Linked DNA regions of Macaca fascicularis. The protein of the gene in region 7 purifies or fractionates together with the protein of the main gene of each other region. This does not show direct contact. Links are inferred from orthologs where the notes say so. Each region holds a gene or a part of one and is shown on either strand. Other genes may lie near its edges. The genes, in order: G3BP2, MAVS, DDX5, YBX1, G3BP1, IGF2BP3 and TRIM25.

Region 1 (3,500 bases), on a different chromosome or scaffold from region 7:
CTATATATGAAATTGATACTTACATTTTGGCCATAAACAGCTTCCTGGGGCTTTCCACTAGCATCTACTCCACCATGAACATAGGAAGAATTCCTGCCATAAAACCTGCAAAACCATAATTAATGATTAACACTGAATTGTCAAGAGAAGCCTAAGAGGCAGTAGAATTCTGGTGTCATAGACTAGGTTCCGGATCCGGCTCTGTCACTAGTTGTGTAATCTTGGACAGGTAAATTACTTAAGGTCTTTAAGTTCAGTTTCCTTGGTTATAAAACAGGAACAGGAACTACTACACAGGGTCGTTGTAAGGATTAAATGAGTAATGCACATAGAATGCTCTTAGTTTATCTGGCACAGTACGTAGACAATCATTAGATACTCATATCTAATTCTTATCACATATGTTTTTTGTTAAGTGGAAAAATCGGATATTTTTGACTATTTAGTACATTCTAAATACAGATGCTATAGTAACCGACCCTGTTTTTCTCTTCAGATACAAAGATTCAGCTATCTAGATTTGTTTGGGAATCACAGTTTAATACTATATTCAGATCTCCAAATGATTACTAATTCTAAAGGCTTAAACTGTTTAGATTTAAAATAACTGAAACAATTCAGAGATAAAGTCTAAAATCCAAAATTACTTCAGCATCTAATTTTTTAATATTTTTGTACTGTTCCTAAGTATGTGTAAATTAGTCTTTTATTGGCATTATCCAAAGCAATTAGAATTAGAATCTTTCTAAATTAAGCTCAAAGACGTGAAGTTAATTTTTTCACAAAGAAAACGCAACTCCTATAGTAATAAAACATTTAAGAGCTTCCTTTATGCTAAGCAATGTTTTTAGTGTATTATGTGTACTGACTGACTTAATTTTCTTAACAATCTCATGAAGTACTATTATCTAAATAAACAAGCTGCGGTTCAGAAGAGGTTAAATTAACTCCCCTAAGGTAATATACCTATCAAGTGGGGCACCCAAGATAAGAACCTAGTCTAACTTGAGAGTCCATGCTTTTAGCCACTACTCTTACTATTAAATTTACACTCTCTTCTCTCATGTACTACTGGCATCTTTCCTATAGAACAGTTTGGCTGTGTGTGTATCTGTGTGTATACACATGAAAAGTCTCAGAATGATCATATCTCTTTGATGCATTAATTCTTCCAGGAAAGTATCTAAGAAAATAACTAACTAGCAACGTACACAAATAATGCATGTTTCAGGATATGTATTAGTGTTGCTTATCACAAGTAGAAAATTATAACAACTTGAATTTTCATTAAGAAAGAAATTGGTCAAATAAGCTAGGTCTAAAACAAGTCTGTTACTGTTTAAACATGATGGTGTAGGGCCTTATTGTTTTAATTTTTTTTTTTTTTGGTCACTAAAGAAAACAAAAAACCCTGTATCATGAAAAGACCAAATTTCAGATATCAAAGGGCCCTATTAATTCTATATCTTCCCCCAAACTCCCTCACATACACTGTCATCAAAAACATCTTTACTTTTACAATTAGAGAAAGACACAGTTATTCATTTTACATTTATTTGCGGGGAAGATACATGTTAGTTACACTTTATATATACTACATTATAATAAAGTGGTTGGGGACACTACTCAGAACTGGGCCTGAATATTGGCTATGGTTAGCTTGTTTACTTATTGAGTGATCCTAGATGAATTACTAACCTCAACTGTCTAATAGATAAAGAGCTAATAAAAGTAACTTCACTTTAAGACTGTCATAAGGAGGCTGGGCGCGGTGGCTCATGCCTGTAATCCCAGCACGTTGGGAGGCTGAGACGGGCGGATCACGAGGTCAGGAGATCGAGACCATCCCGGTTAACACAGTGAAATCCCGTCTCTACTAAAAATATTAAAAAAATTAGCCGGGCGTGGTGGCCGGTGCCTGTAGTCCCAGCTACTCGGGAGGCTGAGGCAGGAGAATGGCGTGAACCCAGGAGGCGGAGCTTGCAGTGAGCTGAGATCAAGCCACTGCACTCCAGCCTGGATGACAGAGCGAGACTCCGTCTCAAAAAAAAAAAAAAAAGACTGTCATAAGGAATACATGAGATAATATACATATGTAAAGTAATTAGAGTCTAGCAAACAGTAAATATAAAAATGCCTTCTTGAATAAAACAGATTACATGTATGTTCAAAAGAGCAAGACAAATTGCTACTGAAATGCTCATTAAGATGACCTACAGATAAAGGAATTTAAGTCTTTTAAACAGCCTTTCTCACGGGAAGTGGTAATATATTTATCCTTAACCCATTTGGCCAGTGTGTTCTGCAATACTTACAAAGTGTAACTCTTGTAAGAGTTTCACCTATCTTCTACTTGCTAAGATACATCAAGAACAAAAATTAAATACTACCCACAATATAAATCAATTTCACTTTGATCTCTGGAAAAAACAAGCCTACAGATGTCTACCTCTTGTTAAAACAGTAAATAAGGTTATTGCTGCTGTTTTACAAAGGAATACTATTTTACAGATTAGAAGAAATACAAATTTTCACAGTATAATCATTTAACTGATCCATTCCCCGACACTGTTTGGGATAACTTTAAAAAAAAAGATTTAAGCTGCTGATTTCAAATTGCATATTGGAACCCATTAGTTGGTCAAACGGTCAAACCCAAGATATGGTTTTTTTTTTTTTTTTTTGAGATGAAGCCTCACTCTGTCACCCAGGCTGGAGTGCAGTGGCACAATCTCCGCTCTCTGCAGCTTCCACCTCCCAGGTTCAAGCAATTCTCCCGACTCAGCCTCCTGAGTAGCTAGAACTACAGGCGCCTGCCACCACGCCCAGCTAACTTTCGTATTTTCAGTAGAGACGGGGCTTCACCATGTTGGCCAGGCTGGTCTCAAACTCCTGACCTCAAGTGATCCACCTGCCTCAGCCTCCCAAAGTGTTGGGATTGCATGTGTGAGGCGCTGCGTCCAGTCTCGTGTAAACTTTATATAGTTCTCCACCACCCACCCCAAAAGGCTTTTTTTGTTTTTTTGGTTTTTTTAATGAAATAAAGGTTGGGCTTGGTGGCTCATGCCTGTAATCCCAGTGCTTTGGGAAGGCAAGCTGCAAGCTGGGAGGATCGCTTGAGGCCAAGAGTTTGACGCCACAGAGGGCTATAATCACATCACTGCACTCCAGCCTGAGTGACAGAGCAAGACCATGACTCTAAAAGTAAAATACTAGAGTACATGTAAGTATGTGCATATATATATATGAATGTGTTATGTACTAGAATATGACATAAAGTGTTTTTGTTACTGTGAGTTGCAGTCAAAAACACTTTCTGCCATCAAATGAATAAAATATTGAATACAGTTTAGACATGTTTACAAACATACTGTCAGATAATGAGACAGGAAATGCAAAATATATGTAGTAATATCCAAGAAAAAAAATAGATAACAATACCAAATTATTTGTTTAAAATTTACCTGTGTAAATATTCTGGAGCTTTATTCAGCAAAGTA
Region 2 (3,500 bases), on a different chromosome or scaffold from region 7:
ATGGGGTTTCTCCATGTTGGTCAGGCTGGTCTCGAACTCCCGACCTCAGGTGATCCGCCAACCTTGACCTCCCAAAGTGCTGGGATTACAGGCATGAGCCACCGCATCTGGTTTTTTTTTTTTTTCTCCCAAGACGGAGTCTTGCTCTGTTGCCCAGGCTGGAGTGCAGTGGTGCGATCTCAGCTCACTGCAACCTCCGCCTCCCAGGTTCAAGCAATTCTCCTGCCTCAGCCTCCCGAGTAGCTGGGATTACAGATGCATGCCACCATGCCTTGCTAATTTTTGTATTTTTAGTAGAGATGGGGTTTCACTATATTGGCCAGGCTGGTCTTGAACTCCTGACCTCCTAATCCACCTGCCTTGGCCTCCCCAAATCCTGGGATTACAGGCATGAGCCACTATGCCCAGCTCCTGATTCCTTTTTTTTTTTGAGTCGGAGTCTCACTCTGTCGCCCAGGCTGGAGTGTAGTGGTGCGATCTGGGCTCACTGCAAGCTCCGCCTCCCGGGTTCATGCCATTCTCCTGCCTCAGCCTGAGTAGCTGGGACTGCAGGTGCCCGCCACCACACCTGGCTAATAATTTTGTATTTTTAGTAGAGACAGGGTTTCACCATGTTAGCCAGGATGGTCTCGATCTCCTGACCTTGTGATCCGCCCGCCTTGGCCTCCCAAAGTGCTGGGATTACAGGCATGAGCCACTATGCCTAGCCCAGATTCCTTCTTGATATCACTACATCTTTGTCCTCCAGGGACCTCGGACCGTCCCCCAGACCCACTGGAGCCACCGTCACTTCCTGCTGAGGGGCCAGGGCCTCCCACACCTGCTGCGACCCACAGTATCCCCTACAACGGCTACAGAGAGAAGGAGCCAAGTTACCCCATGCCTGTCCAGGAGACCCAGGCGCCAGACTCCCCAGGAGAGGTCTGTCCTCACAGGACACCTTGAGCCACCTGCTTTTGTGTTCCTATCTGCCTACTTCTGCCCACTGAGCCTTCCAGAAACCCTCTCCTGTCCCCTATAATTCACGCCTAATCTCTGCTCAGAATCCCAGGGCTTCCTTAGTGGCAATCTGCCCCAGACCAGCTTCCAGACTGCTGACCACGTCTTTACCCTGTGGCAGCCCTAATCCTCTGTCACCAACCAGCTGGGAGAGCACAGTTTTTATTTTATTTCATTTTATCTTTTTTGAGACAGCGTCTCATTCTGTCGCCCAGGCGGGAGTGCAGTGGAGCGATCTTGGCTTACTGCTACCTCTGCCTCCTGGGTTCAGGTCATTCTCCTGCCTCAGCCTCCGGAGTAGCTGGGATTACAGGCATCCACCACCATGCCCAGCTAATTTTTGTAGTTTTTGTAGAGATGGCATTCTGCCATGTCAGCCAGACTGGTCTCGAACTCCTGACCTCAGGTGATCTGCCCACCTTTGCCTCCCAAAGTGCTGGGATTAGAGGCGTAAGCCACTGCGCCCGGCGATGCTGTGTTTTCTGTGAGGTAGATGCAAGGACACCTGTGGACAGAGGGTCTGGGAATTACCAGAACCCAGAAAAGGGCTCCCTTGGCTCCTGTGCTCCATGGTGTGGGCTGAGACCTATAGGAGATGCCCCAAGAGCACAAGCTGCCCTTTGAAAGCTCTTGGGAGAGGCAACTGCCTTAATCATATTTTCCCTCTTGCAGAGTTCAGAGCAAGCCCCACAGACACTCAACCCCAGAGTCATCCCAAGGAGTCCAGATGGTGGCCCCCTGGAGCCCTCCTCTGACCTGGCAGCCCTCAGCCCTCTGACCTCCAGCGGGCATCAGGAGCAGGACACAGAACTGGGCAGTACCCACACAGCAGGTATGCATGGAATCTGGAATTATAGGGTCCTTCTGATCTCTCAAGTGAAGGTGAGAATTAAGAGTTGCCCCTCTGGCTTCCTTGAACAGGAGACAAGGTGGGAATAAAGGGAGTTCAACCCAGGAAGCAAACCAGTTCCTTAGCGGGTGTATCAGTTAGCATTTGCTGTGTAACAAATACAGTTTTCCAATTTTGTTTTTTTTCAGTAGCTTAAAATATAGCCATTTATTTAGCATATGATCCTGTGGGTCAGGCATTTGGGCTACCTACCTGGGCACTTCTTCTGGTCTTGACTGAATTTCCTCTCAAGTACTCACTGATATATACATAAGTTCTGCCTCTGGCTGTTGGCCTTGCACCTTGGTTCTCTTCTATGTGGTCTCTCATCCTCCAGCACACAAACCCATCATGGCAGCTGGGCAGAGTTCCCAGAGAGAGAGGGCTCAAAACTGGCACAGTGTCCCCCATGCCCCATTCTGTAGGCAAAAGCAAGTGATAAGGCCAGCCTAGATTCAAGGAGTAGGGAAATAGACTCCCTCCCTAGAGGGGAGGACTGACAGGCACAGTGCAAAGAGGCTAGGTGGAGGTAAGTGAGATAAGTCGGGCCATTTCTGCCCTCTGCCAAAGGGACTGTGGGGATCAGCCAGGGCCTGGAGGGCGGTGGGCAAGGGACAGTGCAGGGCTGCATCAGCTGTTGGCAGGGGAGCCTTTAGGCACTGCCTTACTGCAGAGATCTCCAGTTCCCAGTGAATCATGAAAACTTCTCAGTTCCCAGACTTCTTCATCATCCAGTGGCCTGGACCCAACTCCAGACCTCAGTGCTCCCCCTCAGAAATATATAGTTGTCCATCTGGACCTCTCAGGCTAGCATGTCTCTTTCCTACTTCCCAAACTGTTCCACATGATGCTGGTGCCCAGTCAGCCCTCAGTGCCCTGGGACAGCCACAAGACAATGAGCAGTTAAAGGCTGGGAGACGTCATCTTAGTACTTTTGTCATCCCCAAACTGCTCCAAGCACCTGTCTATGCTTTGTAGTGTCATCTGGCCATGGGATGCCTTTCAGGAGTTGCTGTAGACCATGCAGGCAGAGGGCACTTAGGTTTCAGTATGTTTGTAGACACAGGTCCCATGAGATTCTGTGGTATTAGATTGCCGTGGGGGAGGTGTACATCAGAATCACCCTGACTTTTGCCAGCTGTGGGGCTTGGCATGTGCATTCCGAGTTCCGTGGAGAGTCCTGCTGCAACTGCCTTTATAGACCATCACTACCTGCTATCCCCTGCTTCCCCGACCCAGGTCAGGCAGCCTCCCAGGGGTGGCTTTGTCCCTGTTGCCTCTCTTCCCAAGCCTCTGGGATGGCCAGCCCTCTTGGCTGGTATGAGCCATTCTGCATGCGCCGTCCTGCCACCCCTCACCCTGATCCACGACTGCTTCCACTCGTGGTGGTCGGAGAGGGACAGCAATGGGGGAAGTGTTCAGGATTCCATGAGGCTAAGGTCAAGGTAGAAAAAGTGGACACAGGAGAGGGGAGGTTTCCTAGGTGGGAGAGGAAAAAGCGGAGAGAATAATTAATAATGATCTTCAAGTTCCTAGGTACCATTTCACTGTGTGCCAGGACAGACCTGGGGCTACAGGTCAAGGACTGAGGGCAGCTGTTGGGCTTTCAGGC
Region 3 (4,237 bases), about 21 Mb from region 7:
GTTACTGTTGCAGCCTAAAATCTTAAGTTACTTATATAAGCCTTACGTGGGTGTTTTTAGTTAAAACATGTTTACAAGTAAACAGGAATATTATGTCATAAGCAACAGTTTAATAATAATCTGAAGTTACTAGACAGTCATTAATAAAATATGTTGCTTCAAACTCCCAACAGTATTGGTCATGTGTTTACCCAATTATCTTGTGCAAGTCAGGATTTCTCTGGTGCCCAAATAAGTGGTGATTAAACTTAGGCTGTTAAGAACTGGCATAATGACAACATCAACACTAATGCATTTCTTAGTTTTTCTTTTTTATTATATTGATCTACATGAAACAAAATATTGGAAGTACATGAAGCTCAGAATTATCAATACTGTTGACGTTTCCTGCATACCACATTCTCCTCTCCCCTAGATATTGCTGGGATTTGCGAAGTTTAACAGTTTCTCTACCAAAAGCAACTTAGCTTAAAATACTTGTTCCTTGAAATGCCTGACGATTGGTAGGAAAGCACTGGCAATCGATATTAGAAACAAACATCTCCACTATGTTCTGGACACATGACGTTCTGGAAACGAATGAGAGTGTATCTTCCAGGCACATAATCCCCCCTCTCCAAGCCCATTTCTCACAACTGGCCAAACCATGACAACTGGTTTGTACGCAGTCCTAGTGAAAAGGATGAAAGCGTCCTAGACAACCAAATTAATTCGCTCTTCAAAAGCGGTGCTAGACAAAGCCCATGACTCTAGAGGGCACTGAAGAGAAAAAAGCACCACTATTCTTCTGTGGCAGGGGCATGAATAAACCTTAAGAGTGCCGTTCCTTTAAAGACCACTACAAAAGGAGGTACGACCTCAGGGCCCATAGTGCAAGGGAGGAGGGCACATGGACAGCGGCTAGACGCCCCACAGAAAGACAAGTCCGAGGACGACCCTTCTGACTGCTCTTTTTGCAGCCAGGACCCGAGCGTCCTACCGGCCTCGCCCCAGTGCCTCTCTCCCACCTCATACTGCTGTTCCACGGCCTCAAAGCGAAGAGGGGGTGAAGCTGAGAGACCCTATCCAGAGAACCCGCCACCGCGACGCAGCGTCTGACAGTAACGAGCCCCGCCGACACCCCAGACCCAGTCCGGGCTAGCCCGAGGCCTCCCTGAAGGTGGACAGTTTCAGTAAACACACACCGCGACCCCAGGGAAACACTCACCAGCCTCCGAGCGGGCCATGTCTCGGAAGCAGGTCGCCGCCGGACTCCGACGCTGCCAGACCGGCGACGGTGTCCTGCAAGGACCGAACGCAGAGCAGACGCTGGGGGGCGGGCGCACGAACTAAAGCGCGGGGAAGGAGGCGTGAAAGAGGGAGGGACGTTAAAAGAACTTCTCGCCGCTGATTGGTCATCAGAGGAGCACTTCCTTTCACAGCACGTGCCACGGAAGCGGTTTGGGAAGTTTAGAGACCATTCTCCGCCGGCCAAAACCCGTCACAGGATTGTCAGACCCGTGGGTCGGACGGTCCAAGTTAGCCGGCAGCTGGGGGCGGGTCCCGGGTGCTGGCAGCGCACTTCCGGTGAGCTATTTCGTTATGTATCCCTCCGCCGACGTCAACGGGGAAGTAGTGCGGCCCCCTGTCACGGTGGGCGGTGGGGGGGTAACGTCACGTGACAACGCCAGGCCCCCGCCTTCCCTCTCATTTGGTTACAGGCGTGAGGGCTCTTTGGAGACGTAAACACCTCCGAGTGGGGAGGGTGGGCGGGCTTGGGCTGGCTGTTTTATCGTCTGGCTGGGCTTGGGAAAGGGCAGGGTGGCTTTCTTGAGGTGTGGAAAGACGAGAAGAAGGTGAGGTCAAGAGAGTGGAGAATGAGGCATTTCAATGGTGGGTGGGCCCTGACCTGAGAGAGCGGCACGGGGTGGGGTGAAAGCGCGGCGATCGCGGAACGCCGGCGGGCGTTGCGGCCTCTGCGCGAGGGGCGGGGCGATTAGGTCATAGAGCGGCTCCCAGCGTGCCTTGCGGCGTAGGAGGAGGTCCAGACTATAAAAGCGGCTGCCGGAAAGCGGCCGGCACCTCATTCATTTCCACCGGTCTCTAGGTGTGCAGCTTTGGCTGGTGTCATCGCCGTCACTCCTCCGCTGCCGCCCCCGCAAGGCTTCGCCGTCGCCGAAGCCATTTCCAGCGACTCGTCGCACCCTTTTCTATCTACTTCGTTCCCCGCCAACCGCAACCATTGACGCTATGTCGGGTTATTCGAGTGACCGAGACCGCGGCCGGGATCGAGGGTGAGTGTGGGAGCCGAGTTGTCAGGGCTGGCGGGTGGGGGATGGGAGGGCGGGTCAGGGTGGCGGCGGGCCGGGGCTTTGCGGCTTGGACTCGGCCTTTCCGGGCTATCTTGGGGCCTCCTTTCCCGAAGGCTTGCGCCATTTTGATATTCACGTAACAGTGAGTGGGAGAGATTTGACGGGATAGTGTCTTCATCCTCGCTTTTTGTGTGGGGGTCGGGGAGCCGTCGGGGCGGCTGCCATTTGGTAGCTGTTGAGGGAATTCAGAGGGAGCGCATTGTTCGGATGAAAGCGCGACGCTTCGAGGCAGACGAAGGAACAGCTGTTAGGTGCGGCCTTTCGGGAGGTGTTTTTGGGGTGGTCGGGCATTCTGTGGGAGCGAAGGGACCACCTCCAAAGCCACTGGTGCTGTGGGGGTAGGAGGGCGGCCGGCATCAGCCATGTGGCTGAGTCGCGGGTATAAAATGCCGGCCTTGGACATGGCGGCGGCGCCTTTGTTACTCCGCCCGGCGGAGGAGCTCAAAATGGCAGCGTCGAGAAAATGTGGCGCAGAGAGAAATGCGAGACAAAGGGGGAAGCGCCGCCCCAGCGGGAACGCCGCCCGGCCGGCTCCGCCCGGGCCGGGACTCCTCCCCCGGTAGTCGCCGGCTCCTCCTTTTCTTTTTTCCTGCGTTATATAATTTTAATTCGTTGATCCGGAGCTCTACCGCGGCGTCCCCCCAGCTCGGTTTGCTAGCAGAAGTGTTTCTAAACCGTTGTTTCGTTTTCGTTGTCTGTGCTGTCTAGATTGTTGACATCAAAGCTCTTTGGCTTGAAAACGGCCATATGAGTAACATCGTTGTGATGCTCTTCGGTTCATGTAGGCTTGTTATCACTGATAATGAATTGCTAGACTGGTGAGAAAGATAATAGTAACCACAAGAAGTGGTGTGTAATACTAAATTCTGGCATCTGGGTGACAAGTTTTCGATATAGTAAATCCCAGGCTGTTTACGTGGCCTAAGTTGTGTGTACTTGGGACTACGGGAAACGTTAACTGTGGCTGTTGAGAGAGAGATTATCACTAAGGACAGTGCTAGGTTTACCTCTCGAAGTCGGCTTTCAGTGATCTTTAGCTTGTGCCAAGGGATGGTAAACAAATCTGTCCAGAAACCTAGGTGTAGCCATTTGAAAATGTAAATAACTTTTTTTCTTCATTCCAGGTTTGGTGCACCTCGATTTGGAGGAAGTAGGGCGGGGCCCTTATCTGGAAAGAAGTTTGGAAACCCTGGGGAGAAACTAGTTAAAAAGAAGTGGAATCTTGATGAGCTGCCCAAGTTTGAGAAGAATTTCTATCAAGAGCACCCTGATTTGGCTAGGCGGACAGCAGTGAGTAAATTCATGTGGCTTCATCAGGCTGTAACTCAATGGAGTCTAGTAAATGAAATTCTGACAGGTGTTTTGCAAATAACTCAATTTTGGTAGAGTTACGTTTTCTGACTTCATAATTGGGAAAGGTGTGACTCACTTTTGCAAATAGGTGGCTTTGGGAATTTTTTTTTTTAGATTGAGTATAGCAGAATAAACGGTTTTTTTGTCATATAGGGTTTTCATACGCGGTTCCAGATTAAAATGAAGCTACTTTAAACTAATTACTAAATTATGAAGTTACGGACTTGCCAATTACGTATTTAGTTAGGGGTGGTTGTCATGAGCTTTAAGACTGTTATAATTTGTTTTGCAGCAAGAGGTGGAAACATACAGAAGAAGCAAGGAAATTACAGTTAGAGGTCACAACTGCCCGAAGCCAGTTCTAAATTTTTATGAAGCTAATTTCCCTGGTGAGTGCTACTTTTCAGTTCTACCCTACCCCTGTGTTTTTGTTTTCACCTACCTCCTCCTTTCCTTGGCATCACTAATTTTTGTTAAATATCTGTCACTAATTATAGCAAATGTCATGGATGTTATTGCAAGACAGAATTTCA
Region 4 (3,978 bases), on a different chromosome or scaffold from region 7:
TAGTATCTCATGGACTAAATACTTATAAAGTGTAAAGATAATACTCTTATTTTGGACAAAACTATTGATTTCAAAAAATGTCATAACCTATGCCCACTTAAAAAAAAAATGCAGCGAAACAAGGCACATGCTAAAACTTCTTAAACACATACAAAAACTGCGATCTATCTGCTGAAAAGGATGCATATTTGCACACCAGAGTTACCATTACATTGGGTCAAGGGTTAAAAGCAGTGATTTTGAAGGTATGGCCCGAAGACCATTATCATTCCTGTTAAAAATGTACCCAGACCTAATGAATCCAAAGCTCAGAAGAAATACACCACTTAAATCACACCCTTCCAACGTAAGCACACTTAAATTTGAAAACCACTGGTTTAAGAGTTAGACTAGTAAGGACAGTCAGTAAGACACAAATACAAACTAAAACACTAACAAATTCAGACAGATCAGTTAAAAAGCTATCAGTTTACCAATCATATATAAGCATTCCCTTTCTTCTTTGCTAGTAAGCTTTTATCAAAAAATTAATGAAAACCGTAGTTTCAGCCAGCCAGGAAGGCAAACAGTATAGAACAAGTTGGAAAATCCTAAGATTCTGGAAGAAACAAAATGTTTTCCCACAATTGCAAAAGTAGAGAATAGATCATCAAATGCTTATCTCTTACTTTAAGTATTTCCACAATACTCTATGATTGATTAATGAACAGTTTTTCATCAGGCCATGAATCTGTCCTTAAGCTTGATTTTGCCCATTTGTTGTCCATTCCACGTTGTTCTTTTAATCATCTGCTTAGGTCTTCTACAGTAAGTAAGCAAGAGAATGCTGAGATGGCACTTAAGTACCATACCTGTGAGGCCAAGATTGCTACTGGCATACCCAGTGCTCTACACCCATGTAACTGCACTACTAGCCTTGGCAGCCATCTTGAAAATGATGCCCGGCTCACAAGGAAGCCCATGGAATACTGTGCGTCTACTGCACGTTACCACCACCACTGCCACAAACAACCCGAAGGGTAAGTCCTAAAGACGTATCTGCAGCTTTACCTTCAAACAGGAAGAACAATGTCAAGTTACTAGTGACTATGGCCACTCTAATAAGCTACAGCCAGGGATCTAGCGGAAATTGACTTCATCAGCATGATTTTAGGACAAGGAAGAATGAAATAAGAACTGAAGGAAAAAAACCATTTTCTTGCAGATATATTATTTATGAACAAATAAAAACAGTTCTCTCTGGTCAAAGCTGTGCTAATACAGAATTTATCTCAGGTATTAAAATGAAACGTGAAACAAAGGCAATACAACCTCTCGGTAAAGATGACAAAACCTCATATACTTGACACGTCAAATCCTCTTACCCCCAAAATGTTAACAAGGCGTAAATATCCGATGTCAGTGGATCACATTCTCAAATACCGAGTTCAATAAAGTAGAAAAGGATGACAAGAATAAAAATCTACTGGACCGTACTTTCCCGTTTACCCTGTTAAGGAATGGCTCATTCACTCCGCTTGCCTTTTAAATTGCTTTGTGCTGTGACGAAGCCCTTGAAGTTAGCTTCAAATTAATATTTAGCTGCAAAACAAAGGCATTCTCTAAACCCAAATCCCTCCAGTCGTCAAGGAAAACAAACAGACAAAAAATCACATTAATACACCAGAGGTAGTAAACGCCTTTCAGAAGAGGACTGTGGATTGGCACAGCAAGAAGCAAGCAAGAAGGTAGGATGGAGGCTTCAGAGCCCAGCAGCTCACCTGTTGATGAAACCATATCCGTTCCTTACATTGAACCATTTTACTGTTCCCAAAACCTTCGTTGCTGGAAAAGAAAACAAAGCAAAACAAGCCACGATTACCAGCTATCCTTTTCCAAACCCGTCTCGCTTCGGCATCCGGTCCCTCGCACGCTGCCCGCCGCGGCCACCTGACAGCCCTTTCTCTCCACCGCCTGGGTGCGGGTCCGCGCCGGGGCCACGCCGCCGCCGCCGCACACGTGGGTGAGTCTGAAGCGCGGGGCGCTCCCGGGCAGGCCCGGGGCGCGGGCCCAGGATGGGTGTGTTCGCAGGCCGCGGACGGAGAGCACGTGAGGGAAGGGGAAGCAGCTCCGGACTGCGTAGGCGGTGCGCCGCGCCCTCCGAGCACACGCGGAAGGGAGCTGGGTGGGGGAGACGCGAACAACGGCGTGCGGGCCCGAGCGCACGAGGCCAGTCGGCGGGGAGGGGACCCCGTCGCACACGCGGTCGGCGGCGCGCGGCCGCAGGAGGAGGGGCGCGCGGCCGCGCGGGGTCCACAGGGGGCGCGGGAGGCAGTGTGCGCGCGCCTGCCGGGCGGGCCCCCGCAAGAGCGAGTGGGGGGGCGGGGGGAGGGGCGGCCGCGCGCCGCGGAGTCGGTCCCCACCGGCCGCGCGCCCGCCGGCTCGCCCAGCCCCGGCTAACGGTTCCGCTGCCAGGCTGCCCGAAGGCCCCACCCCCGTCCCTGTCCGGTCCTCACCGATGACCTTCTTGTCCCCGCCGGCAGGCGCCGCCGATGTGAGGCCGCCCGGGCCACCGCTCCCTGCGCCGCTGCCCGTAGTGCCGGGCTTGGTGTCGGCGGCGCTGAGGGCGGGGGCGGCGGGGGGGGCGGCGGGCGGCTGCTGGGTCTCGGCCTCGCTGCTCATGGTTGCGGTGATGGTGACTGGGGCCGGCTGCGGCAGCTGCGGCTCCTCCCGGGGTGTGATGGTAACTAGGCCGGCGGCGGCGGTGGGGCTGCTCAGGGCTCTCTGGGGTCCGCTCTCCGCTCCCGCTACCGATCGAACTAGCGAGAATGGCGGGACAGGCGGGATAAGCCCTACGATCGACCCGCCCTAGGCGTTGTTCACTGGCCGGTGGTACTGTCAATCTGCCCACCTGACCTCAGTCCCTGGCTTCTATTGACTAACATTTTATCAGTCCTCCACTCTCATTGGCTGTCTGGCGGCTAATTCAGCCGACCTACAACCGTTCCTGCCTCCGCCGGCCGCCATAGAGACCGGAACTAGAATTAGAGTAGTCGGCCACGAAAACCATAGAGTACCTGAGAGGACGGGCAGAGGGAACGTGACTTCCACGAGGCAGTCGCCGGGCTGGCGGGCCCGACGTTCAGGGTTGTGTCTCGGCTGAAAAAAAGGCACGCCCGAACGCTGGGCAGGGATTACCCGGCCGGACCCGGGATTGGAAGGGGGCTCGACGACGCCTTAGCTCCCCGTGAAGAAAAGGCTTCCCTCCCTCCCTGCACCAAATACGGTCCCTGTGATCTGAGAACATTACGGCGGGCATAGAGTCGTCTTTTCTTTAATGGCCGTGTACTCGCGGCACAGCCGAGGGTTTCTGGAATTGCCTTAAACGTATGCGTTTGAAGAGCGTACGCTTTTGTCGGAGCAGTCACCTTGGAGGGACCACGCAGGCTCTGGCAGCCCGGGCTCAGCATGTTTAGGGCGAGGGTGTGCTCCGTGGGGACCTGCCTTCTGATCCGTTTTACCAGGCATATATTTTTAAAAATGTGTCTTCCTTTTCAAGTGTTAACGTGTTTTTCTACTGGCCACAAATCAGATTTAATTCAACTCACATTTATTGAACAAGCTAGCGTCCTATGTTTTTTTTCATTTAATTCGTACAACAGCCATGTGATAGAGGAATTACTATCCACGTTTCACAAACGATAAAATTGAGGCTGCCACCTGATGTTACTGAAGTCCTCCACCCACCTTCTTTCGTTCTTTTTTAAGCGTCTACTATCGGCTGGGGATGGAATAGTTCGCGAGTCAGTTTCTGCCTTCTGATGGAGGCAGAAATTTAAACAGCCAACACGGTAAATACTCCAGAGCTGCAGAAGCACGAAGTATTTTGGGAGTAGAAGCAGGGAGAAGGTGGAGGGCTGACTTTCTGCGCACAGGGTACAGGCGAGAAGGGGTGGGATCTCGGGAAATGCAGTCAAGTAGTTCAATAAGACTCGAATG
Region 5 (4,209 bases), on a different chromosome or scaffold from region 7:
TTCGCTCCTGGGCTTCCCGAGTTCCAGGCTCGGGTTAGCCAGGCGCAGGCAGGCGAGCGGGCCCGGCTCCCCACAGGTTGAGGCCGGCGCCCGTGCTCCTTTCAGCTCGGCCTCTCTACCCCTACATAGGTGCTCCATGTGCTTCATTTCCAAAATTTTCAGCGACACTCCGCGGGAGACCCTCCCGCCTGGTCACATGCCCGAACGAAAACAAACCGGGTCGTGTCTGTGCCTGACGGCTGGGAACCAAAGCTATTTCCACAGAAAATGCCCACGGCGACCCACGCACGGCCGCCCAGCCATGAGTTATAGCCCCGCCAGTGCCTGAGACGCCAGGAGGAGGGGATGAGTTGCCCTTTAAAGGCGTAGCGACGAGAATAAGCCCCCATCCGCGGCAATTGGAGGCTGAACAATAGTGCCGCGGCTCGAGACGTGGTGCGAGGGCCCAAACTACACTGGAGCACGCGCGGACCACCGTGCCTCAGCCGCCACAAAGGGAGCCTCGCCACACGCCCGCGGCCGCCTCGCAGCACCCGCCCGGAAGCGCCTGGCGGAAGGGCGCGCTCCCAGGCACTTCCACTGGCTACCTTCCGGCGGGAGCCCGTAGGCGGCGCAGGAGCGACTTTCCTTCCCGTGCCCCACAGCAGTGCTGAGTAATGGTGAGGGCAGCAAGGCCCTTGGCCGTCGTATGTAAAAAAAAAAAAGTTGTAATAAAAACAAAACCACCCGGGAAACTTTGCCACTTAGTTCCCCACAGGTACCAAACTGTGCAGAAAAGGCGGTGTGCACGCCTCAGAGCCGGGACCCAGCAAGTCAGAGAAAGAAAGGAAAGAGAGCAGAAGCCGCAGCCTGCATAACCTCACAACCGCCCAGAGGGCACGGTCGCCCTGGGGCTCGGTCTCTTCCGAGCAGCGTAACCTCCGTGTCTATCAACTCCTTCCGGCATTGCGATTGGCCACAGGCTGTCTTGGCCTCTCGGGCGCCCGCCTCCTAGTTGCTAGGGGTTTACTTCCCCAAAGTACACGGGCCCCACCTTGTGGCGCAACCGCTCCTGCATGGAAAACGGATCTCCGCCCAGGGGAAGACGTGTTAACGAATAAGAGCAGCTCCGCATATTTATTGGCTACTCTGGGTATCAGTCAAAGAACTGCTCACCCGCCTTTCTATTGTACTTTTCGGTTATTGGTCTCTCTTAGTGCCGATCTGTTACTAGGGAAACGAGATCCTCACAGTCTCATAGGCATGAGTCAAAGCCAATCAAGAGCCACGCCTTCATCCCCAGTAAGTGCCCAATTGCTGTTCGAAGAGCCCGGAGGACGCGGTCGGGATTGGTCATCCCGTCGCCCGACCTGGCCGCAACAAGTTAGGGTGAGTGGCAGCTATATAGACCGGCGGCGGAGCACGCGTGTGTGCGGACGCAGTTGCGTGAGGGGTTTCTGTTATCCTTGGTGCTGTGGAGCAGAGCTAGTTCCTCTCCAGCTCAATCAGGTAGGTATGCAGGGGTGTGGGCGGGGCAGGGCAGCCAGAGGACTAAGCTGAGCCGCGGCAATTGTGAGAGGGAGAAGTCTGAGTGGCGCTCGCGGCGGCCGCGCCAGGCGCGTCCCCCACCCCCACCCCAGCCCCAACGGCCGCAGGCGCGCGCGGCGGACGGACGGGAGCGCGGCGGCTCCCCGCTCCCCCTCCCCTCCCGACTGGGGCGCGTGGCCGTGTCCGCCGCGTGCGCGTGCTGCGTTCAACGGCCACGCGGGGCGGGAGTGAGTCGCGGCCGCCGCCCGGGCCCCAGGGCGGCCTCGAGGACTAGGGGCTCTGCGCCCAGCGTTTCCCGCCCGCCACCCACTCCGCCACGCGCCTGCGGAGTCTTTTCGTCCCCTGGCCAAGAGATCCAGTCGGTTCGGACCAGAAGGAAGCTTTCGTTTAAGGGTGGGTGCAGCACTAAAGTCTAGAGTCTTGTGGTCCGCGCGCCGCAGAAGTGCCTTCAGTTTTGCAGGGAGGAAAGGGAGCAGCGAGTGCACGGAGTGATAGTAACAACCAGTGTTCTTTCCACGCTCTCGCTATGTGCCCGGCACTGTGCGGAGCCGCTTTTCTGCCTTTGATTTGATTGTCGCAGTGAACCGGCGAGGTGGGTACGGCTGTCCTCCTTCCGTAGCGGCCCAAGGCAAGGGTCTGGAGAGCGGGGTCACAGGCACGCACGGGAAGGGCGGGGATTTGCTGACGCCGGTCCCTCTGACTCCGAGTCCCCCGCTTCCCAAGCCTGTTTTATTCTTTGCCCCCAGAGCACTTGTCCCTCGGGACAGCATCAGCCTCAAAAGGCCACCTGCCGAGCAGGCTGCAGCGGCATTTGTACTTGGGCTAGTTCTGGGCTTCCAGGGAGACAAGGGTTGGTAGTGGGAATGTGACAAAGGAAAAGGGTTTGGGCTGCTTTTCTACGTGTATTCGTACAGGCCGTGGGTAGATGTGCCGCCACAGTAACTTCTGGAAAAAAGTAGGGAAAATGATGAGTAAGTGCAAAAGAACATCGACTGTGTTCCTCATCGGGTTTGAAACTCAGATTGGTGATGGGAAATTCCCGCCAGCGGGAAGTTAGGCTCCGGTTTTAGACGTTGAATTTTTTTTTCTCTCTATTTTTTTTTTTAATTGGAGGAGGCTTTTGGAGAAAGACCTTGAGAAGATTAACTTTATAGTTGAAGGAAGTGAGGTGCAAAGCAACGAGTTTCAGATCTCACTAGCATCTGTGGGTTAAAATACGGAATTGGAATGGAAAGGATGGCGCCCAGTTACGATATACATTTGATCTCTGTGGCGCGTGTCACCCTGGCCGAATTACTGGTGTTGGAGATGTCTTGGAAAAAACAACTGTGACAGTCGAGATCAGTGGATGAAAGTTTGTGTACACACTCCGTTTATTTAGCATTTACTCTGCTGGGTTCCTGTGTATATGCAGAAACAGGATGCTTTTCTTCAGACACTTGAGATTATATTTTTCTAGTAGAGTTACCATATTTTAGGTTATTTAAAAGCCAGCATACTCCTTGGCTTAGTGAAATAAATCTTCCTATGTTATAGAAACGCTTCTATAAACATAAACGTTTCTATAAACATGTTCTAGAAACTCTTTCTAGAGAAGCTGTTATGCGTTATAATGTAACAATGTTCCAAGTAACATTTACTTGGAACTTTCCTGGTGTAGCAATTCCGGTTACCTGCCCTTACGGACTGGTTAACTATTGAATTAGCATTTTAACTTAGACTTAAAGACGAGCAATTTAAGTTGTCAAATGGAAAAACACTAGAATGATCTGCATTTAAACTGTTAAAGCTTGAGTCCAGCTAATTTTATTACAGCTTGAGGCAAAATAGAATGAAATTACCTTACGCATTATTGAGGGAAAATTTTGTTAGTTTCTACTTAAAATATTAAAAAAAAAAATACAGTTCTTGGCCTCAGGCAAATGGTTATCACTTGGGCAGGAATATGCAAATTACGTGATTATTTCACAGACCGGTGCTCCAGCTGATCACTTGTGCATTCCTTTATCAGGAACTAGTGAGTTGAAGCAAATTGTGGTAATGTAAGGCTTGGCACGGCCGCCCTACATCCCTACCATTGGAGCTGCTTACCGGTAGAAAAGTCTAGCTTTTGTACCTCTTACAGGTAGAAAAGTAGACAGTTCTTTGTTTAACTCAGTTTGCTGTTCTCAGCTGACAGTCCACCAGGGAACATTAGGAGATTTTGGTTATGTTGGTTTGTGACCTACTTAGAGCAGTTTTTCTTTTGTAACTTATGGTTTTTCTTTTTTTTCCCCACTCGTTCTAGTATTTTGCATAGAAAGTGAACGGCAGAAGGCAGTTTTAAGTTTTTGTAAAAGTTTGTGAATTTTATATCGTCCTTAGGACTGATGGGGTTAGTGTTAAAAGACAAAATTTAACATAAAGCTTACATTTGTGACTAAAGCCAATTTTACAATTTTTTATTTTTGTCAGTCTGATAAAAGTACCCACTTGGTCTTTTAACAGTTTGCAAATTGATTTTTTTTGTTTCAGAATTCAAATATGCATTGTATGTTGTTTGTTTAATTATATTGTGCTTTGGCTTCCTTGGACAAAACTATTACTGACTTTAGGAAGAAGAATGAATAATTGTGGAAGTAGGTAGGTCACAAAAAAAAAAAAAAAGAAAAAGAAAGGAAGCCTCGTCCGCCCCCCCAGTAA
Region 6 (3,500 bases), on a different chromosome or scaffold from region 7:
ATACAGATGTTTTTGAAAATGTGGTAAAACTACAGGTACCAACATAGTACAAAGTCCTTAAGTGAAATAATGCAATTCATATCATGACATGATTTCTTTTTTAAAGTCACACATGTTAGTAGATACAGGCAACAAATCCTGTAGAGATACATCCCCAACTTACCAATGGCTACCCGGGTGAGACGAATGGTAACTTTTTAATTTACATATTTATATGTTTTGAATTAAATATGTCTGCTGTTATTTAAAAAGTACAAGAAAGAAAATCAGCTACTCAAAAATGTGTGTTTTTGGGAAAATTAAGTGTTTGTTGAGTTCCTCTGGCCACTCAAACACTTAAAGACCTAAATAACTCATGGCCGTGAGAGTGACCACTTGATCGTGCCAATAAAATCAAGGTTTGGCTTTCATTTTCCTAAATGTTTGGTTGAAATCTAAAGCTTTACACCTCAAGAGTGAAAGAAAACTAAAAATAAGGGCATGAAACAAATTAAGGGCTACCTAAAAATAACTAATAAAAAAAATAGTGTCTTAGGTAACAGTCCCAATCTTAGGAGTCATCTTCCCAGCTGCTGTTTCAATCCCCAGTCACTTTCAGTGATGCGTGTCTTCCAGTAACACATTAGCATCCTTCTTTGCAGTTTATTTCCACCCTTTCACTGTGCCTGGATTACTAAACTCCGATCCCCTGAGAGAAGGGAATGTGGCTTTGGAGGTTAAAGTGGCCCTCTGAGACCATTCCAGAAACAGAGGTTCTGATAATGACTAATTTCAATGTCAAGAGTTAATTAAATCCACTGGCAGAGCTCTGCAAATGAATCCTCGGATATAACAAAGATTGCTTCCCTTCCCCATCCCCATTTTCCTGCCTTAAGTAAAACAAACAGTTCAATTTAAGTCACAGCTCTTTCATCTGACAGAGAAATGAATAGCTCGAAAAGGAACAATTCTAATCTGCTACATGACAAGGAAGGGAAGCCATATAAAGAATTTCTGCAGGTAACGGTGGATCAAGGGAAGCAAGAAGCCCTTAAATTTTAAGATAAAAGCCAAGCCGACTGACTAGGTTATGGTTATGGTCCAATTGTCTTTCCCACTCCTACATGATGAGGTCAGGGCCATTAATTTTGCATTCAGGTAACCAGCACCCAACATCTCCTGCTTCAAAGCAGGGGAAGGCAGGATCAGATGTCACTGCAGGGAGCAGGTGGGTGTAGACCACCTCTTAGTACAGTTCTTTTTGGTTCTGCATGAGAAATGGGTCAGCTAGTCCAATGCAGGCATGGTGCCTATGATGAATACGCATGTGCTCTTAGGCCTGCTGGAACAAACACATAAAGTATACACAGCAGTGTAGTTCTAACTTTTAGGGAAAGATTAAGCTTATTTCGTCGGATCACATTAAAAAAAATCATTCTCCTTTCTCAATTTAAAAGGCAAAATAATCTTGTCATTTCTGTAGCTGGCCCAAGGCTTACAGGATGGTATTTTTGGATACAACCTCTTTTTCCCAGCACATTCACAGGTTCTTCAGGAAAAACGTTAGTAACAGGCCCAGAGATGTGCCCTGTAGCACGTTACCGAGCTAGGTATGGGGGGCAGAGCTTGTCACCAAGCTTCTCTGGGTCAAAAAATATCCACATACTGTACAACAGCATGGTTTCTAAAGCAAAACAACATACAATGCATGAGGACTGAGAAGTATCTTAGACACACGTGAAGGGCTTCAAGCATAATTCACATGTAGTCATTTTAGTCATTTGACAAATAGAAGATCCTTCTATGCAGCAAGGCCCTGGCCTTGGCCCTGGGGCTACAGTAGTAAATAAAAACAAATAGTTCCTGCTTTCTGCTCATGATAATTAGCTCCAACATTTGGATGGGAATCTTCCAATCCCTTAAAGCCCACCAATTAAAAACATCAAAAAATATCCAGAAGAAAAAGCCATTCTAATCACATGGCTTAATCACAGGAAAAATTTGGATAAATAAGATGAGTGATTCGAGTAAGGCAAGACTGAAAAACTATCTCTGTATTGAGGCCACAAATAAAACGGATTGGACCCAGAAAATTACTTCTAAAAGCAATGAGGGGAGGTGGGGGGTAAGGGGTGGAACAGAGAACAACCTAGAAGCTGCCTGTCTGTCTTCCAGAGCCTCCCCAACCAGAAGAGGATTAGGTATCATTTGTTTTCCATTCATGTGTGAAAATCTGAGGTTTCGTTTGAGACTCAGGATTAGCTCCAGATTTATATGAAATGAACACCAAGATACTGCAAGATTTTTATACATTTCCCAAGTACTGTACAAGGAGGCCTCATGGCTGCGTTCAGAAGGGCACCAAGTACCAGAACGACACACTGCTAAGATTCCAAGGGGAATTCTCCTGAACACCCACCATACACTCAGCATACTCACTTAGACTGGGTCTGTTTGGTGATGTTCCGAATGGTGGCACCTTCTTTTCCTATGATGGCTCCAACAAATTGGGTGGGAACCAGCAGGCGCAGAGGCAAATCACATGGTTTCTGCTTGGACACAGATCCTGGAGACCCCTGCCTTGAGGAGCCCCTCTGCCCAAGCCCCCGGCGACCTCGGGGCTGCTGCAAGGGGTTTTGCTGGGCGGCCATTTCATCAGGGATATAGGCTACTTTCAAGGTGAAATTCTCTAACTGAAATCCATTCAGTTTGTCTAGTGCTCTGAAAGTTGAAAAGGGGCAGGTTTGGGAAAAGGAATCAGTCTATACGATACATCTTTTAGCAAAACAACACCCATCTCTTCTACTCAGCATTACTAGCTATAAACTTCTGAGTAAAGCCCCAGCACAAGCAGCAAACCTGCAACACACATAATCCTCCCCCTCCTCGCCCTGCACCACCACCACCTGCACACATTTTCCTTTGAGACAGGCGCAGCGGGGAAAAAGGCCACAAGTTTCCAGAGGGAACTTATGTGCCATCTACTTAGTGAAAAATAGAAAAACAAAAAACATTTTGTCAAACTCTTGGTTAAGTTTAACCCATAAGGTTATTAACAGTTTAGAATAGCTAAGCAGCAAGAGAGAAGGCAAGTGGGCTTCTTGCCTTGGCTAATGTTTCCAAATCACAGTGGAAGAGACATTAGAAATACATACCTCTTTTACTTCACCCTCTAAAATGTGAAGTATTTAAAACCATTTTAAGAAGCAGTGCACAAATATCTCTAAACTATTCACAAACTATCCTGAGTATTAAATTCTACCAGTCACACTCAGTACCTATTATGAGCCAGTCCCTGAGAAAACAGTGGTCCCTGACTTTGTGGTTAATGATCTGATTTGGGGCAAAGAGGCAAGGGTGGTGATAAACCAAAGAAAGAGAATTACTTTCTAATCTGCCCACTCTACCACACTATTTTGGGAGAGTTTCTCTCTTTTTCATCTGGTTTTTTTTTTTTTTTTTTGAGACAGAGTCTTGCTCTGTCACACAGGCTGGAGTATAGTGGAGCCATCTTGGCTCAC
Region 7 (4,164 bases):
TATTACAAGGTAAACTAAGACATTTATCTTTTCCTCATTTTGCTACCCACTCTGTCCCCAAAGCAAACTCCAACTAATTCCTTCCAAAACACCATCTTTCTCTTTGCCACCAGCCCCCCCGGCATTTTTTTTTTTTTTTTTTTTTGAGACGAGACTCGCTCTGTTGCCCAGGCTGGAGCGCAGTGGCGCCATCTCCACTCACTGCAAGCTGCATCCCCCGGGTTCATTGCATTCTCCTGCTTCAGCCTCCCCGATAGCTGGGACTACCGGCGTTCGCCACCACGCCCGGCTAATTTTTTTGTATTTTTAGTAGGGACAGGGTTTCACAGTTTTCGTCAGCATGGTCTCGATCTCTTGACCTCGTGATCCACCCGCCTCGGCCTCCCAAAGTGCTGGGATTACAGTCATCAGCCACTGGGACCGGCCAATCCCCACCTCTTTTGAACACTTCTACTCTCCAGTCCACCCATACGTCCTGCAGTCAAGCCAGAGGAGGGAAAACAGAGCAAAAGAAAGTATTAAAGGAAGTAACTTTAAATCAGTAACTTTGAGAAAAATATTTAAGTTCCAATATTATGTGTGTGTGTGTGTGTGTGTGAGAGAGAGAGAGAGAGAGAGAGAGAGAGAGAAAGAGAGAGAGAGAGAGAGAAGGAGAGAGAAAGCCTTTGTTAAACTGGGTAACTCCAAATCCCAGGAAAGTAGAAATGGGAATTTTTATAAAAGCATGATATATCAGTAGAATGGAAATAAATCACCAGGTTTAAATCTGAGTGTGTGACTATGGGCTCCAGTCTTCAGGGACTGTATGTTCGCATGTCCCAATCCGGGACGAGGAAAGAGGAAGGATTAAAAAAAGAAGAAGAAAAAAGCATTGTGGTTTAACAGTTCCTACAGGTTTCCTTTTTTTTTTTTTTTTTTTTTTTTGCTTTTTTTAAAGCTTGCCCCATAGTTATGGGAACACCTCTGGTCTCAGATGAGTGCTGGGAAGGAGGGGACTTGCTCCGGGCGCAAGTTTGTGCGGAAGCGCGACTGGACCTGGGCTCTGAATCTGGGGGTCCGGGGTTCTGCACCCAGTCGTCAGCTTCCTCATCCGCAGAGTGGCCCCCAGAAGCCTCCGGGTGGTCGCGAGGATGCTCTAAACCCCGGGGGCTAAGGCCGAGCCCAGCGTCCCGCGCCCAGCCCGCGGGAGCTCTCGAGGCTCGCAGCGCGGCCGACCTTCGCCACTTCGTGGGCAACTGGCACTTCGGTGCCCGCAGGCTCTCGAGGGTACCTCGCGAGGCCCGACCAGTCCTCGCCGCCCGCCCCTCCGCGCCCCACGTGACTTCCTGACGGCTGCAGGGACTGCCCTTCCCGGGCTAGGTTTCGTTTCCTCGGCAGCCTCGGAGCGCGGTTGCAGTAGTCGCGTCTCGACCCCTGGGAGCATCATGGCACAGCTGTGCCCCCTGGCCGAGGAGCTGTCGTGCTCCATCTGCCTGGAGCCCTTCAAGGAGCCGGTCACCACTCCGTGCGGCCACAACTTCTGCGGTTCGTGCCTGAACGAGACGTGGGCCGTCCAGGGCGCCCCATACTTGTGCCCGCAGTGCCGCGCCGTTTACCAGGCGCGACCGCAGCTGCACAAGAACACTGTGCTGTGCAACGTGGTGGAGCAGTTCCTGCAGGCCGAGCTGGCCCGGGAGCCACCCGCCGACGGCTGGACGCCGCCCGCCCGCGCCTCTGCACCCAGCCCGGGTGCCCAGGTGGCTTGCGACCACTGCCTGAAGGAGGCCGCCGTGAAGACATGCTTGGTGTGCATGGCCTCCTTCTGTCAGGAGCACCTGCAGCCGCACTTCGACAGCCCCGCCTTCCAGGACCATCCGCTGCAGTCTCCAGTTCGCGACCTGTTGCGCCGCAAATGTTCCCAGCACAACCGGCTGCGAGAGTTTTTCTGCCCCGAGCACGGCGAGTGCATCTGCCACATCTGCCTGGTAGAGCATAAGGCCTGCTCTCCCGCGTCCCTGAGCCAGGCCAGCGCCAACCTGGAGGTAACGAATGGCCCGGGAGGGCGCAGAGGGCAGCCTGGGCCTGCTGGGTGGTGCAGAGGGGCCACCGGGGGCCTCTCTGCCACCCTCTGGACGCCCTGGGGGAGATGGGCCTGAATTCGAGGCCGGGGCATCTCCAATGTCAGAGTAGAAAGGGGCTGGGAGATTATATAGTCCTCTGCCATCATCCATGAAGACAGGTTAGGTTGCTTGCCATAAGCCTGTCTTTGTCTGATGGTGTTTATTTTTATTTTTTTTGAGACAGGGTGTCGTCCCTCTCACCCAAGCTGGAGTGCAGTGGCAGAATCACAGCTCACTGCAGCCTTGACTTCCCGGACTTAAGGGATCCTCCTACCTCAGCCTCAAGAGTAGCTGGGACCACAGACTCGCTAATTTTTTTACCTTTTTGTAGAGATGAGGTTTCGCCATGTTGCCCAGGCTGGTCTCAAATTCCTGAGCTCAAGCGATCTGCCCACCTCTACCTCCTAAAGCGCTAGGATTAAAGGCGTGAGCCACTGCACCCCACCATCTGATGGTGTTTAGTAGAGGGTTTTGAATGTCAACTATGAACCTTGGAGGTAACCTCTGTTCCTTCACGAAGTCCTGGTGGCACCCAGGAGGTGGATATGATTTAGTTTCATTTTACTCTTGAGGATACTGAGGTTCAGAGAAATGAACTTAGCCTGACCTAATGCAGTAAATGGCCACGCAAGCATTGCGGCCCAGGTTGGTTCGATTTCATAGTTTGCATTTCTCCCCATGGACCAGCCTCGTATCCAGGTCCGTAGAGTCTGGAGCACCAAACAGCCCAGGAAGCTTGAGGTCATGTAAGCAAAAGCCTTTGGTGGGCCGGAGAGTTCGTGTGATCAGGAAGGGTTGTTATTAGAGGCCTAAGAGGGAGGGTGGGCAGCCTCCCAGTAATCACTGGATCAGAACCACAGGGAGAGCCAACACTCTTGCACCATAGTGTCCTCTGTCCTGGCCGTGTGACTTTGAGCACAGGGTTTGGCCCCTGGACCTGGGTCCTCACCAGTATAGTGAGGCTGTGGGACTAGGTGGATTCCTAAGGGCCTTTCAGGTCTGCAATGTTTTTAGGTTGTCTGGGGATCATACCTTTCCCTTGTGGACTCAAAGCAGAGGCTGAAATCAAACCACCTTTTGTTACATCAGCCTAAGATCCAAAGCATGGCCTGATTTCATTTCATTCTCACAGCACCTTCAGGGAGAACAAGACCCGTCTTCGTGTTGTCAAAGGAGACAGTAGCCTGAGCAAGGTCAGAGTTGGGGGTCTGCATCCAGCTTTGTGTAGCATATAAGCTTGGCTTTTTTTTTTTTTTCCTTTTAGAGACAGGGTCTTGCTATGTTGCCTAGGCTGTTCTTGAACTTCCGGCCTCAAGGGATCCTCCCATCTCAGCCTCCTGAGTAGCTGGGACTACAGGTGTGCCACCATGCCTGGCTATAAACTTGGCTTTTTTTTTTTCCTTCTTTTAGAGACAGGATCTTACTTTGTCACCCAGGCTGGAGTACAGTGGGGTGATCATAGCTCACTGTAATCTCCAACTCCTGGGCTCAGGTGATCCTCTTGCCTCAGCCTCCTGAGTAGGTAGTACTACAAATGTGAGCCACCACACCTGGCTAAGTTATAAAAAATTCTTGTGTAAAGACAGGATCTCACTATGTTGCCTTGGCTGGTCTTGAACTCCTGGCCTCAATGCTCCTCCCATCTTAGCCTCCCGAGTAGCTGGGACTACAGGTGTGCTACCACCCGGCCTGGCTGTAAAATCAGATTTTTTTTTTTTGAGACGGAGTCTTGCTCTGTTGCCAGGCTGGAGTGCAGTGGTGCGGTCTCAGCTCACTGCAACCTCCGCCTCCTGGTTCAAGCGATTCTCCTGCCTCAACCTCCTGAGTAGCTGGGACTACAGGCGTGTGCCACCATGCCCAGCTAATTTTTATATTTTTAGTACAGACTGGGTTTCATCATATTGGCCAGGCTGGTCTCAAAGTCCTGACCTTGTGATCCACCCACCTTGGCCTCCCAAAGTGCTGGGATTATAAGTGTGAGCCACCATGCCCAGCCCATATATATATATTTTTTAATCTTTTCTTTTAGAGACAGGTTTTCACTCTGTCACCCAGGCTTGAGTAC

What was found.
Region 1: the proteins of TRIM25 (region 7) and G3BP2 purify together in Homo sapiens (affinity purification with mass spectrometry; 4 studies listed by BioGRID and IntAct, counting the BioPlex papers as one, with this or other methods). This does not show direct contact. The link is inferred for Macaca fascicularis from reciprocal best matches to the Homo sapiens genes TRIM25 and G3BP2.
Region 2: the proteins of TRIM25 (region 7) and MAVS purify together in Homo sapiens (affinity purification with western blotting; 3 studies listed by BioGRID and IntAct, with this or other methods). This does not show direct contact. The link is inferred for Macaca fascicularis from reciprocal best matches to the Homo sapiens genes TRIM25 and MAVS.
Region 3: the proteins of TRIM25 (region 7) and DDX5 purify together in Homo sapiens (affinity purification with western blotting; 3 studies listed by BioGRID, with this or other methods). This does not show direct contact. The link is inferred for Macaca fascicularis from reciprocal best matches to the Homo sapiens genes TRIM25 and DDX5.
Region 4: the proteins of TRIM25 (region 7) and YBX1 purify together in Homo sapiens (affinity purification with western blotting; 4 studies listed by BioGRID and IntAct, with this or other methods). This does not show direct contact. The link is inferred for Macaca fascicularis from reciprocal best matches to the Homo sapiens genes TRIM25 and YBX1.
Region 5: the proteins of TRIM25 (region 7) and G3BP1 purify together in Homo sapiens (affinity purification with mass spectrometry; 4 studies listed by BioGRID and IntAct, with this or other methods). This does not show direct contact. The link is inferred for Macaca fascicularis from reciprocal best matches to the Homo sapiens genes TRIM25 and G3BP1.
Region 6: the proteins of TRIM25 (region 7) and IGF2BP3 purify together in Homo sapiens (affinity purification with western blotting; 3 studies listed by BioGRID, with this or other methods). This does not show direct contact. The link is inferred for Macaca fascicularis from reciprocal best matches to the Homo sapiens genes TRIM25 and IGF2BP3.

What each region holds. Positions count from the first base shown.
Region 1 is NC_088379.1:58,219,092-58,222,591, reverse strand, and holds part of G3BP2 (ras GTPase-activating protein-binding protein 2), read right to left. Parts: coding exon 3,465-3,500; intron 106-3,464; coding exon 24-105; intron 1-23.
Region 2 is NC_088384.1:83,425,929-83,429,428, reverse strand, and holds part of MAVS (mitochondrial antiviral-signaling protein), read left to right. Parts: intron 1-748; coding exon 749-921; intron 922-1,671; coding exon 1,672-1,831; intron 1,832-2,021; exon of another isoform or gene 2,022-3,367; intron 3,368-3,500.
Region 3 is NC_088390.1:71,096,259-71,100,495, reverse strand, and holds the start of DDX5 (probable ATP-dependent RNA helicase DDX5), read left to right. Parts: upstream 1-1,437; 5' UTR 1,438-1,566; exon of another isoform or gene 1,567-1,835; intron 1,836-2,086; 5' UTR 2,087-2,229; coding exon 2,230-2,273; intron 2,274-3,475; coding exon 3,476-3,641; intron 3,642-3,996; coding exon 3,997-4,093; intron 4,094-4,201; coding exon 4,202-4,237. Other genes in the region: CEP95 (centrosomal protein of 95 kDa), read right to left, coding at 1,208-1,226. UniProt on the Homo sapiens protein: Involved in the alternative regulation of pre-mRNA splicing; its RNA helicase activity is necessary for increasing tau exon 10 inclusion and occurs in a RBM4-dependent manner. Binds to the tau pre-mRNA in the stem-loop region downstream of exon 10.
Region 4 is NC_088375.1:192,186,736-192,190,713, forward strand, and holds the start of YBX1 (Y-box-binding protein 1), read right to left. Parts: upstream 2,801-3,978; 5' UTR 2,662-2,800; coding exon 1,862-2,661; intron 1,825-1,861; coding exon of another isoform or gene 1,761-1,824; intron 1-1,760. UniProt on the Homo sapiens protein: DNA- and RNA-binding protein involved in various processes, such as translational repression, RNA stabilization, mRNA splicing, DNA repair and transcription regulation.
Region 5 is NC_088380.1:158,622,483-158,626,691, forward strand, and holds the start of G3BP1 (ras GTPase-activating protein-binding protein 1), read left to right. Parts: upstream 1-1,409; 5' UTR 1,410-1,488; intron 1,489-1,756; exon of another isoform or gene 1,757-1,920; intron 1,921-4,209. UniProt on the Homo sapiens protein: Protein involved in various processes, such as stress granule formation and innate immunity. Plays an essential role in stress granule formation.
Region 6 is NC_088377.1:106,924,444-106,927,943, reverse strand, and holds part of IGF2BP3 (insulin-like growth factor 2 mRNA-binding protein 3), read right to left. Parts: intron 2,701-3,500; coding exon 2,419-2,700; intron 1-2,418. UniProt on the Homo sapiens protein: RNA-binding factor that may recruit target transcripts to cytoplasmic protein-RNA complexes (mRNPs). This transcript 'caging' into mRNPs allows mRNA transport and transient storage.
Region 7 is NC_088390.1:49,808,731-49,812,894, forward strand, and holds the start of TRIM25 (E3 ubiquitin/ISG15 ligase TRIM25), read left to right. Parts: upstream 1-1,364; 5' UTR 1,365-1,424; coding exon 1,425-2,021; intron 2,022-3,231; exon of another isoform or gene 3,232-3,292; intron 3,293-4,164.